Linked DNA regions of Oryctolagus cuniculus. The main gene of each other region encodes a partner of the protein of the gene in region 2 in a complex. Links are inferred from orthologs where the notes say so. Each region holds a gene or a part of one and is shown on either strand. Other genes may lie near its edges. The genes, in order: PRKAB1, PRKAA2 and PRKAB2.

Region 1 (4,350 bases), on a different chromosome or scaffold from region 2:
ACCCCGCCAGGTGATGTCTGGGACGCCAGCGGGCGGGTCCTCCAGCACAGGCGCTGTGGGAGTCACCCCTGTGAGGCCGTGAGGAGGGTTTCTCCTCCTCGTGCCCTTTCCTGGTCGCCTGCAGCCATGTCTCGGCTCCCGGCACACGCAGGCAGCGCCCGGCGTTACCTTCTGGTGAGGGGCAGCTTGCTCCAGTTGTTGAAGGACCCAGAGAGGTACACTTCCTTCCCGCCTCCCGTCCACCGGAACACCGTCGGCCGGGCCTGGGCGGGGGCTTTGTCGTTCACCTCCAGATCGTGCTGCCAGGCCAGGAACTCCTCCTTCTCGGGGGCCTGGAAGCAGAGCGGGTGTCGCGGGATAGGAGGTCAATGAGCTCCCGGCCAGTGCAGCCTGAAGAGGCGCTGCCATGACCCTGTAGTCGGCTGGCTGTGCCTCAGTTTCCCCACCAGCACCACGGAGATGAAAACATTCCTAAGGTTGTTGGGAAGACTGAGGCGGACAGTCCACGTGGAAATGTCCTGCCGAGTGACCGACAGGACGTGTGGAAGCGCCTCCTACCCAGCACTGTGTCCCTCACTAGCAGAGAGGCCACCTGTGGGGCTGGCGCAGTGGGGCACCGTGTTAGCCGCTGCCCGTGACACGGTGGATCCATGTGGCGTCCCGTACCTGAGCACTGGCTCCACTCCACAGGCCCACTGCTCTGCCTCTAGTCCAGCTCCCTGCTAATGCGCCGGGCAAGGCGGCAGAGGGTGGCCCAAGTACTCGGGCCCCTGCCACCCATCTGGCAGACCTGGATGGAGCTTCTGGCTCCTGGCTTGGGCCTGGCCCAAATCAGGCCGTTGCAGCCATTTGGGAATAAACCAGAGGACGGAAGCTCTCTCTCAGCCTTTCAGATAAAGAACTTTTCTTTTTTAAAAAGGAGCTCTGCATTAGAACTCCAGGGGAAAGTATCAGATATGCTTGGAAAACTGCTTAATAAACGTCATTTTCCTCCCTTCGTTAAACAAGACTGGAACTATGTGAACATAAGTGAGGGATCATTCCAGAACCGGTCAGTTTGAAAATCGGCAGATCCAGACTTTGAGGAAGGGAAAGACTATTCACTGGCAGGAACATTGTCCTGGTGCTGGTGAGAAGAGATACTAAATAAGACATTACGATGAAGTGTAACGTCCAGTGTAAGTGTTGTGTAACTGAAGTGTTCTGGCCTAAGAGAGACATAAACACATCCAGCTCTGGGAGAAATAAATAAAGGATGTTTAAACAAAGTTTCCTGGCCAGACGCCAAGACCTTTTCAAAGGGCAGTAGCTGGAGGAGGGGACAGGCTTTTGGGGCGTCCAGCAGGCCTTTGGCGCCTGAGCTTATCTGCAAGATGCATGTGTCTACGGAATTCTAACAAGACCTGTGGGTTAAAGAATGCCAGACCAGAACCACAGTGCAGGGAGGATGTGACGCCCACAGCCCCCACGGTGAACAGGTGTGGTTAAATCTGCTGCATGATTCCAGGCAGTTACAATGTATGCTCCCCAGATCTGCTACACAGGTGGACCGCAACACCAGCACTTCTGGCACAAAGCTATGGTGTCTTCAATAGCCTTGCTGGGGTCCCGTGTACTTCTGGGGGAAGGGACGTTAAGTCAACACGGTTCCAAAGTTCAGGTTGCAGGCAGCTTTCTGGAAATGCAACAAGTTCAGGAAACAAGGTCCAAGCACAGGATGGAGGGCCAGGTAACAGCAGATCTTCCTAGTCAGACCCCCAACTAAGATCTGAGGGTGTGAGACGGTGTCAGCACCCAGCCCAACAATGGAGGGAAAAAGTGAGTCAATCGTGTGCAGGTGCATACTAACAGGGTCCCCTTCATCCTCTCTACTCCGTCCCTTTAAGGAATGAGTTCTCAGGCGATGGACAGGATCATGGCTTTGGTGGGAGAGGAGGACCCGCTGGGCTCGTCACAAAGCAGACCGTCCCAGGGGATCCGATGCGGCCTGCCAAGAGGTGTGCTTTGGCCCGCTTCCAATACTGAATCCCAGACACAACACAAGGGCGCCCACCCACCGCCACCTCCCAGAGCCCGCGTTCCACCGCCGGACGCCGCCGGGGCCTGCGCCCGGCCGTTCTTCCTTCTGCTTCCACGTGTGCCCTGATCCACGCCCCCCCCCCACCTCCCCAAAGCGGACCGCACAGCCCCCAGACCCACTCCTACGACGGGCCGGGCTGCCTGCGGGGCACGCAGGACTTCCCGAAGCCGTGAGACTAATTACACCTGGGAGAAACGCGGCCGGCCGGGGCTCACTTCCCGCCGGCGCGACGCCCTGAATTAATTAGGAGCTGGAAACTGTCCCCCGAGCGGCCTGCGGTGCAGCGCCAAGGGAGCGGCCCCCTCCCTCGGGGCCGCGCCCCCCTGCCCGCGCCCCCCGAGCCGCGCACCTTGATCTCCTCCGAGTGGAAGAGGTCGGCGTCCTCGGGGCCGTCCATCAGGATCTTGGGCCTGTCCCCGTCCTTGGCGCCCCCCGAGCTGTCCCTGCGGGGCGTCTTGTGGCCGCCGTGCCGCTCCAGCGCGGCGCGCTCACTGCTCGTGTTGCCCATGGCGGGGGTCTGCGGGGCCACGGGGAAGCCGAGCCGGGTGGCACTCCCCACGAGTCCGGGGAAGGGTCGGGAGGTGCCTGGAGCGGGATCGCCAGGCTGCGCGAGGTTTCGCAGTCGCGCCTCCCCTGCGCCCGGACCTTACAAGCGGGAAGATTAGCCGGCACTATCCTGACAACTCCCCCAACCCCTCAGCCACTTCCGCTTCCGGCGACTCCGCCCCACAACGGGGGAGGCTGTGGCGGGCGCAGCCCGGGGCTAACTCGTCGTCACTTCCGCTTCCGGCGATGGCTGGCTTCCGTGGGCTTCAGAGCCGCGCAGTCGCAGTCGGCCGCACGGGGGGCCCGACCCAGCGTGAGGCCGTGGAGGGCCGGCAGGGGGCGCACCAGTGCACCGGCGGCCTGGGCCACTCTACCTGCGCTGGAGAGAGCGATGCCAATGGATGTACTAGGCCGCCTTCTCTGGTGCCACCCTGTACGGCTAAAGGTGCAAAAGTCTGATTAAGAAACCGCCCTTTGCTTAAAGCCCCTTGGTGCCGTGGCTGTTAACGCTTTAGGATGCATTAGACTCATTTTGCTAGAAGTTTCTTCCTTCTAGTAGCTCGAGGGCTACAAAAGAGAACTTTTATTAAATTCAGTGCGTAGGCTTTTACAGATTTATTTATTTATTTGAAAGTCAGATGGGGGGGGGCAGAGAAAGAGATCTGCCATCCGTTGGTCACTCCTCAGGTGGCCACAATGGCCAGGGCTGGGCCAGGCCAAAGCCAGGAGCCAGGGGCGTCATCCCAGTCACCCACGTGGGTGGAGGGGCCCAAGGACTTGGGCCATCCTCTGCTGCTTTTCCCAGGCCATTAGTAGGGAGCTGGGTGGGAAGTGGAGCAGCCCAGACGAGAACCGGTGCCCGCATGGGATGCCAGTATTGCAGGCAGCGTCTTTATCCTCTACTCCACAATGACGGCCCCAGTGCGTAGGTTTTTGATGAGTAATTTTGCAAAGGCATGATTAGCATTTGTCATTTACTACAGAACGTGGGTCAGCAAAGAGTATGCACGTATGACCCTTCAATATTCTAATCTCATTGCCTTATTTTTGTTTTTTGTATATTTCACACAATACCTCACCGGACCTGGTTGTGCGTTTTGTTCACTGAACATCTGTTTAGTACCTACAAAGTCCCGATGTTGTGGCAAGGAAATGGGAAACACAGATGATCAAGACGAAGTCTTCTAGAGTGGGCAGCTTCTCTCAAAATAATAATAATAAAGAAAAAAGCACCTTCGTTTTTCCGATTTTACCGCTGGGAACCCATCTACAGAAATATCACACAAGGAACTATAGCTGAGCCGGTTCATTGGCCACACCAGCTCTGAGAGCATAGTAAGTGTAAGAGGCACATTATTTTTTTTTTACATTAAACATTATTAATTTTTTTACATTCTAATCTCTTGAAATTGGATATTTCTTAGAATTGGTGCCATCTTAGATACGAAGAAATAACGAAATGACAGCCTGACCAATCTGGAACGTTTGTTAGTGGGGAAATGGCTAAGTGGATTAAACAGTCATTTTGTAGAATACTGCACCATGTTTTAAAAAGGAAAGGGATGGAAAGGGGTTACCTGGGGAGAGGGTCTGAGACAGAACAGGAGTTAGGGACATGGGCTCTGATGCCAACCTCTTGGGTTAAACATGTGGCTTTATACTTACTGTCACCTAGGCCTCTTTTGCAGTATGAGGAATAAAAATAACCCTCATCTTACAGGCTC
Region 2 (3,562 bases):
AGGGAGGAGAGCAGCATGTAATATTTTCCAAGCTTACTCCATCATGAACTCTTTTCCTCAGCAGAGTATCTCACAGGATGCACTATGAGGCATGCTGTTCTAGAACCACATGGAGTCTATTCCCATGACACATCTAAAGCTTTATCTATAGCCCAATAACAGAAGCTCTCCTGAAGTGTCTTGATTGCAGGACATTGTGCTTGGCTCAGACCTATCTATCATCCACAGTTCAGCAATATCTAAGACTGATATGTAGGAATTTTAGATTAGAAATTGATTCTTTCCCTTCTTGTGCTCACAGGTAACAAAGAGTCTACTATTGAGCTAGACAGGGTCTCCTAATGTCTCCTCTCTACAAACTATTTCACTAAACCATCTAGAGTCACAGAATATCTGTTTTAAAAAAATTTACAAATGGAATAAACAAAACTGCACCCTTTGGGTCTCCTACAAGTCAACAAGCAATTATCAATCTGTGGATGTTCACAAATTCTGGTAAGAATGAGAAAAAAATTAATAAATTTTTAACTCTCAAAACATATGATAATCATCCATATAAATTTGATGTGAATAAGTTTCTATTATCTGGCTCATTAGAATAACAAAACTAAAATGCCACTGGATTATTTCTCATTGTTTCTCTGCCTTCAAAATTGTGGACTTTGCTACTGGGGAAAAGGAATCTGTTTAGTTCCTTATTTCTAAGATCTTTCCATTCATATTCAGGCAAAGACTGAATGGTTCTGTTTTTCTCAAAAGAGGCCTGTACACATTTGGAGAAGCCAAAATGATGCCATTTAGCAGACTGAATATCAAACTAATACAGGACTACTTACCCACCTAAAACAGTAAATGAAACAACAGCCTACTGGTGCCACAAGATGGCAATGTTTCAAAGGTTAAACTTCAGTACTATCTCAAACTCCAGACCATCCCGCTCCCCAGACTGGTGAACAAGGATCCCTTTTATTTTGACATTAACAAGCCCAACTTACAAGTTACTTAACAACATTTTTAAGAGACCTAAAAACAATGTGATACAATGCAAACTCAGAACTTAAAAAAACATTCCAAGACAGACATTCTTGTCTTTGATAAGCACGGGAGAAACGTTTTCTAACATCTGCTTCTTGGTAGAAAATATCCTATTTTTGGCAAAGAGAAATTTGTCAAGGCAATGTCATCACTTTGTTTTGTTTCGTTTTCAAGAGCTTAATATTTTTTAGAGTAAGTCATGTGAATGAGATTGTTAATTATAACATATTAAATACAATAAATGAATAAATACAATTTAGATAAATTACACATAATTTAAAAATTAAATATTTTTAAAACAAAATATAATAAATGAGTTATTATCTACCCTGATATATAGTTTTCTTTTTTAATCTTAAAAATAACCTGCATGAAACAAAACAGCAAAAAATGTTTGGTTTTTCTGAAAAGCACTAGTATGTGAATACATATATGTATATATGTAAACAACACATACATTTATTCAAGAGAGAACTTTTCTCAATGTTTAAGGCTTCTCTGCCATATCAGGTTCAACAGTGAAGGTCATGGCCTCTCAAGTTTTGGGAGTACATAAAAGCCCTTGGGGCCAGAATGGTGTTTTCAAACTGAATGGCCAGCAACCAAGAAAGGTAGTGGGAAAGACTCAAAAGCTAAGTTAATGGACCACTGAGGATCAAACAATGAGCAAAGACAATGGTGATTAGTTGGGTTAAGGAGGTGACAGCGATTAGAAACTTAAACTTTAAATGAAGAATTTGCAATGTGAAATGCAAGAAGACCTTCACCTCCTTAACTCCCCCTAATCCCCATCTCATACATACAAAATAAAGGATCAAAAATAAGAGTTCACTTTTAAGGGATCATTGATACGTTGCTTTGTTTCATTTAACTGTCTACTATTGTATTATTCTTTGTTAAGTGCAAAAACATAAAACAAGCCAAAACAAATTTGAGAAAAGTAGGTTTTGAAGGCGTATTTTAAAAGGACATGTTTATAGAAAAGATAAAAATTGTTGCAATTCCAGATGATTTGTTCCAATACCAAATCGAACCCTGAAAGCTCTTAGGCTAAAACCTATTATTTAGGGAAATCTCAAGATAAAGTCCTGAGGTTTCTATAACTGTTTATAAGGTACCTGGAAATCGTGGTTACCTATTACAGGACCACAGCCCTTCTGGTGAGCACTAGGCAATATTTGCAAAAACTTGGCTTCTGAAATTTGGGAGGGCAAGTTTTTAAGAATTCACCATTTATATAATATCTAACTAGTGGTTGTGTTTTAAATCTTGTTCAAGAAAACTGGGGTTGTATAAACACTGCTTAAAGCCTACTGAAATTTAGGAAGCAAATGTGACTGACCTACAATAAAGAGTGAAGCAGGGAGGTATTGACAAACCCCTCTCATGTTGAGAGGGTTCCTCAGTGAGTTGAGTAAATCACCTGAAGTGAACCCACACCTGTGAATTAACAATCTTCATTGATGTCCAATAGTTAAAGACACTGCCTATGTGATTTTATCACAGGCACGTTAGAATTACAGAGTTCTACAGGTAAATAAAATGTCAGACATTTTTGTTTTCAATAATTTCAATGGCATCGAGTGTCCCCTGGAAATATTCATGTCTCTTAATTAGTATTGCAGATATGTGACATCCAGAAGTAAGATAATAATTTAAAGAATATATCTCATCTTTCACAGTGCAGTAACAGAAAGATAGAAACCAGGGACAGATCATCAACGTGCTAAAGTAGTGATCAGACTGGCACACATTTCAAAAAAATCCATGGTGTGACTGCCCAGGCGAGGTGAAACTGAAGACAATGTGCTTCCTGTCAAAGAGCCAGTGAGAGAGCCAGAAAGCGAATGACTCTCTGCAGTGGTAGAATCAAAACTTGATCTTGGCCTGTGTAAGCCAGCCGCAGAGCAGGAGCGCTGAGGTGTTGAGGAACCAGACCTCTGTTCCACTACCTCATCTGGAAAGGACAAAAGAACAATTCATACATAAATTCTATTTGCCCAAGTCCTCTACGAAATTGCTATATTCAGGAGATTATATAAACATATTGGAACAAAGGCAGCTTAGTAATAAATGTCATGTTCAGTGTTTCAGGAGCAGAGGTGGTAATAGCTCTTTCCTCCTAATCCATCACTAATCAATCACAACACTTCCACATGGTCAAAATATGATCCCTAAATCCTTCTCGACAAAATATGTGGTATTAATATTGAAATCAAACTGATAGCCCCACATTTGAAGAAAACATATCATTGACAACTTAATATCTTCCATTATATCAAAAAATAATTTCACTTAATATTTTGTCTAGATTACTTAAAAACCCGTCAATATTTACCCACCATGTCTTTGAGATGATTTTAAAATCTGATCAACTAGTGCCAAGTTTTACTTTCTTAAGAGTTTATACCTGCACAGCTTCCTTACCATCAATGCTTTTAAAGTCCAAAAGATAGCTTCTATTATCAACCAGGTAAAGTTGCAAGCTCATTTTCACATAATTGCCAGTCACTGGATTTTTTCTTCT
Region 3 (3,562 bases), about 66 Mb from region 2:
GACTCAACAGGTCACAAACTCATGATCCGTGACTGTTACTGAATTTTTAATATTAGCTACCATGCATTGATGGCTTTTTTTCCCATGCATTGTTACAAATCCTCTGTCCTCCTCTCATATTTATATAAATATGTTTCAGACCTTTCCAGCTCACCCCCAGGGCCTTATGGTCAAGAAATGTATGTGTTTCGATCTGAAGAGAGATTCAAATCGCCACCCATACTTCCTCCTCACCTTCTCCAAGTTATTCTTAACAAGGACACTAATATTTCTGTGAGTATCCAGAGAGCATTGCTGGAGCATGTGGGGGTCTCTAGGACCATTTGGGTCAAAAGTTATTAACCCTAGAAGTTAGGATTGTTACAAAGGGGTATTGAGGTTATAAATCATGTGTATCTCAATAGTGTTGTAGGCTCAATTCTGACTTTTTCATGTCCTGGTATAAAAGTGAATCATTGTTTGCTGGTCCTAGCAAAATCAGGACTAGAGAGTTATGTGTTGCTAGAATTTCAGGACTTCTGTTCCAACACAAGATAAAAAGTACTTATCAATTTTTTGCATATACTTTACATCATTATTCAGTGTACCTGGTTTCCACTAAGGTTATTTTTGCATGTCAACATAAATTTGCCATATGTGTTGTGAACAAGATTTTTGTTTTAGCTCTATTAAGGAAGATTAGTAGATGTTGAGGTCTAAAATTTCTACCTGGGACTGGGAATTTTCCTTAATGGCAATGTATTACTGATACGTTCTGGGGTGTGTTATTATTTAAAGGAGATAGTGTGTTCTAGCTTAGAGTTCTCAGCGGTTCCAGGGAAGAATACAGGGATAGAAGAATCAGAGGAACAGAGGACGAGTGAGGTGTTTGGGTTGTCTGCATTTAACTCCACGTAGTGATGTTTTTCTGTCTTAGTGTGACCCAGCTTTGCTCCCTGAGCCCAACCACGTTATGCTGAACCACCTCTATGCATTGTCCATTAAGGTAAGTAGTGGCCCTGGCTCTTTTTTTTTTTTTTTTTTTTCCAAAGATTTTATTTGAGAGTTAGAGTTACAGAGAGAAGTTGAGACAGGGAGAGAGGTCTTCCTTCTGCTGGTTCACTCCCTAAATGACCGAAATGGCTGGAGCTGGGCCAATCCAAAGCTAGGAGCCAGGAGCTTCTTCCGGGCCTCCCATGCAGGAGCAGAGACCCAAGGCCTTGGGCGATCTTCTAGTACTATCCCAGGCCCTAGCAGAGAGCTGGATCAGAAATGGGACAGCTGGGATTAGAACTCACGCCCACGCAGGATGCCAGTGCTGCAGGCGGAGGATGAACCTACTGCGCCACAGCGCCGGTTCCTGGCCCTGGCTCCTAATGGAGCACCTGGAAAGGAGAGGGGGAGAGCAACACATGTTTTCCAGTAGCTGCCTGCTCTGCTGCTTCCTTGAAGCTGAAGCTGGTAGTGGTGATCCAGTTATAGAAGAGCTTTCTTTCTTTCTCTTGTTTTTGTTTCTTGTTTTAAAATCTTAGTCTTTATATCTGTGTTCTTGCTAGCTGAATTGCCCTGTGATTGAATGGACGTTTTTCCTCCTGGTTTCTTTTGCCGGGGGGCTAGAACCTTTATATCAGCTACTTACTTAACATTGAGTTCGTAGCAGTAGAATTCATCTGCTGCAAAGCAGGCCTAGCTTCCAGTTCGGAGAGTGCTTGCATGATCAGGCTTCCAGTTGTCTATCTCCAAAGGCTTGCACCCCTGATACACTGGAGATGTGACCAGATCTGCCCTGTCCCCTCCGTCTCCAGAGTCCCTCTTGGTTTCTCTGCTGTTTCAGAGTCTGGGTTGAAAATGACAGTCTCTTCTGTCGTATCACTCCCTTGTGGACTGGCTCTGTGGTCCTGAGATTTGGCCAACCATCAGAATCACCTAAGGTAGTCTGTGAAGCTACAGGTTCAGGGGCTCCATCCCCAGAGCTGCTGAGTAAGTGTGTGCAGGGTGGGCCCCTGTCATTTTTAAGCTGCTTATATGTCATAGATGTGCAGCTAGATTAGGGGAGTCACCAATACAAGTGACTTTAACAAATTATGTGATAATACATGTAAAATTAAAGACATATTATTGAATTCAATTTTTATAATAAGCTTGTGGGGTAAATAGTATTTTTAACCCCTGTTTTATAGACACAGAAACTAAAGCTCTGAAAGTCACATTACCAGTAGGTACCAGAGACCAGACTGAGGTCATGTTCTTTCCTGTAGATCACTGTTCCTGATCTTCTCACTCGTTCCTCATGTCTGCAAAACCTTTCCTGGAGTTGCATTTTTCACCTGCCTTGCTTCTGTCAGGTTTAGGCTGTGTCATACTCTGGTCCCAGAATGTTAACCTACGAAACATTCTGTAGATAGTACAGTAGAGGGGAAGGTAGGAGGATACACTGGATTCGCCATCGTATCTGCGTGGATTCTTTGGGACCTGATTGAATTTTACCTGCTGCAACCACTCCTTGGCTGTCAGTTGATGTCCACAGGTCTGTCATCTCCTCCTAGGGTGTGCTCAGTATGTGAGGTCTGTCCCACAGCCTGGGCGGTGGGCCCTCCTGCTTGCTTCTGACTGGTTCTCATGCAGGTGTAGTGCTTGGTGACTGCTGTTCAGCCTGGCCCTGACTGACCAGAGTCCACTCAGCTTGTTGCGGCTGATTGGACTGACTTGATTGGACTGAGGAGGATTTGGGCATCCACTGTCTTTGAGGAAAGTGGTAATTCCTGAGTTCCTTCTAGATCAAGGAGCACTTTTTGAGTTCATCCTTGACAGTAAATGTAAATGAGACCTGCGCTGGGGAGCGAGAGTGGCTTTCAGAAGGATCATTTCCCTTTCTTCTCATTGAATCGAAGTCCTCCTCCTCCTAGAAATGGATGCAAAAAGTTGTTCCTTTTCTTCTTTGGTAGTTTTAAGGCCAATATTCAAATTTGTGGCAAGGAAGGGAGTGAAATCGAGTGATATTTCTTCAGCACCTTAAGTGTATCAGATAATCTCATGTAATCATGAGAGCTGCCTGAGTGGTAGGTGCTACGTACCTGAGACTTAGAGACTTAGAGACGCTAGGTAGTTTACTCAAGGCTACACTACCAGTACAATGACGGTAGGAGTCAAGAATGAGGCTGAAGCTGATTTGGCTCCAAGACCAACCTCTTTCTTTTATAGTAAGTTATCTCCGCCGAAAGTGAGCGACTGTGAAGGACTGATGGCTGGGGAGAGCTGCCCACCATATAACTCATGACTTAGCGTTCTTTCTCTTGCAGGACAGCGTCATGGTTCTTAGTGCAACGCATCGCTACAAGAAGAAGTATGTCACCACTCTGCTGTACAAGCCCATCTGAAAGCAGCCTCCTCTGCCTCCGAGGATTCAGGAAAAGTATCTTTTTTGCCTTTCTGGACTGCACCGGTCTCATGTGAGACTGGGAGGCTGATTTGCTTTGAGGCCGATGTGTGTGTTTCAGAGCCTCTGAGTAGGATGCTCTGCTTTGGCATTCGATCGCGGATGAGAGCTGTATGAGTTCATGGAATTATTTTAAGAAAAAATATA

The links.
Region 1: the proteins of PRKAA2 (region 2) and PRKAB1 are in contact, whole or in part, in a crystal structure (PDB 8BIK), measured with the Homo sapiens proteins. The link is inferred for Oryctolagus cuniculus from reciprocal best matches to the Homo sapiens genes PRKAA2 and PRKAB1. Residues at the interface, in NP_006243.2 of Homo sapiens: Gly9, Val11, Lys12, Ile13, Thr21, Lys29, Lys31, Asn48, Arg49, Arg53, Asp56, Val58, Ile61, Lys62, Ile65, Gln66, Lys69, Val82, Ile83, Ser84, Thr85, Pro86, Thr87, Asp88, Phe89, Phe90, Met134, Met164, Ser165, Asp166; in NP_006244.2 of Homo sapiens: Pro79, Thr80, Val81, Arg83, Thr106, Ser108, Asn111, Val113, Ile115, Gln154, Val155, Asp159, Phe160, Glu161, Val162, Phe163, Ala165, Leu166, Asp169, Ser170, Lys172, Cys173, Pro186, Tyr187, His188, Gln189, Glu190, Pro191, Tyr192, Ala202.
Region 3: the proteins of PRKAA2 (region 2) and PRKAB2 are in contact, whole or in part, in a crystal structure (PDB 6B2E), measured with the Homo sapiens proteins. The link is inferred for Oryctolagus cuniculus from reciprocal best matches to the Homo sapiens genes PRKAA2 and PRKAB2. Residues at the interface, in NP_006243.2 of Homo sapiens: Gly9, Arg10, Val11, Lys12, Ile13, Thr21, Asn48, Arg49, Val58, Gln66, Gln81, Val82, Ile83, Ser84, Thr85, Pro86, Thr87, Asp88, Phe89, Met134, Met164, Ser165, Asp166, Gly167, Glu168, Phe169, Leu189, Ala191, Glu194, Pro253; in NP_005390.1 of Homo sapiens: Val60, Ser61, Gln64, Glu67, Asp68, Ser69, Thr73, Gln74, Ala76, Pro78, Thr79, Val80, Ile81, Arg82, Ile106, Ser108, Val113, Ile115, Val155, Ser158, Asp159, Phe160, Glu161, Phe163, Asp164, Lys167, Leu168, Gln191, Met193, Tyr194.

Annotation. Positions count from the first base shown.
Region 1 is NC_091452.1:15,724,081-15,728,430, reverse strand, and holds the start of PRKAB1 (5'-AMP-activated protein kinase subunit beta-1), read right to left. Parts: upstream 2,835-4,350; 5' UTR 2,589-2,834; coding exon 2,430-2,588; intron 333-2,429; coding exon 169-332; intron 1-168. UniProt on the Homo sapiens protein: Non-catalytic subunit of AMP-activated protein kinase (AMPK), an energy sensor protein kinase that plays a key role in regulating cellular energy metabolism.
Region 2 is NC_091438.1:116,460,544-116,464,105, forward strand, and holds part of PRKAA2 (5'-AMP-activated protein kinase catalytic subunit alpha-2), read right to left. Parts: coding exon 3,463-3,562; intron 2,993-3,462; coding exon 2,754-2,992; 3' UTR 1-2,753. UniProt on the Homo sapiens protein: Catalytic subunit of AMP-activated protein kinase (AMPK), an energy sensor protein kinase that plays a key role in regulating cellular energy metabolism.
Region 3 is NC_091438.1:50,126,639-50,130,200, forward strand, and holds part of PRKAB2 (5'-AMP-activated protein kinase subunit beta-2), read left to right. Parts: intron 1-139; coding exon 140-273; intron 274-916; coding exon 917-985; intron 986-3,278; coding exon 3,279-3,356; 3' UTR 3,357-3,562. UniProt on the Homo sapiens protein: Non-catalytic subunit of AMP-activated protein kinase (AMPK), an energy sensor protein kinase that plays a key role in regulating cellular energy metabolism.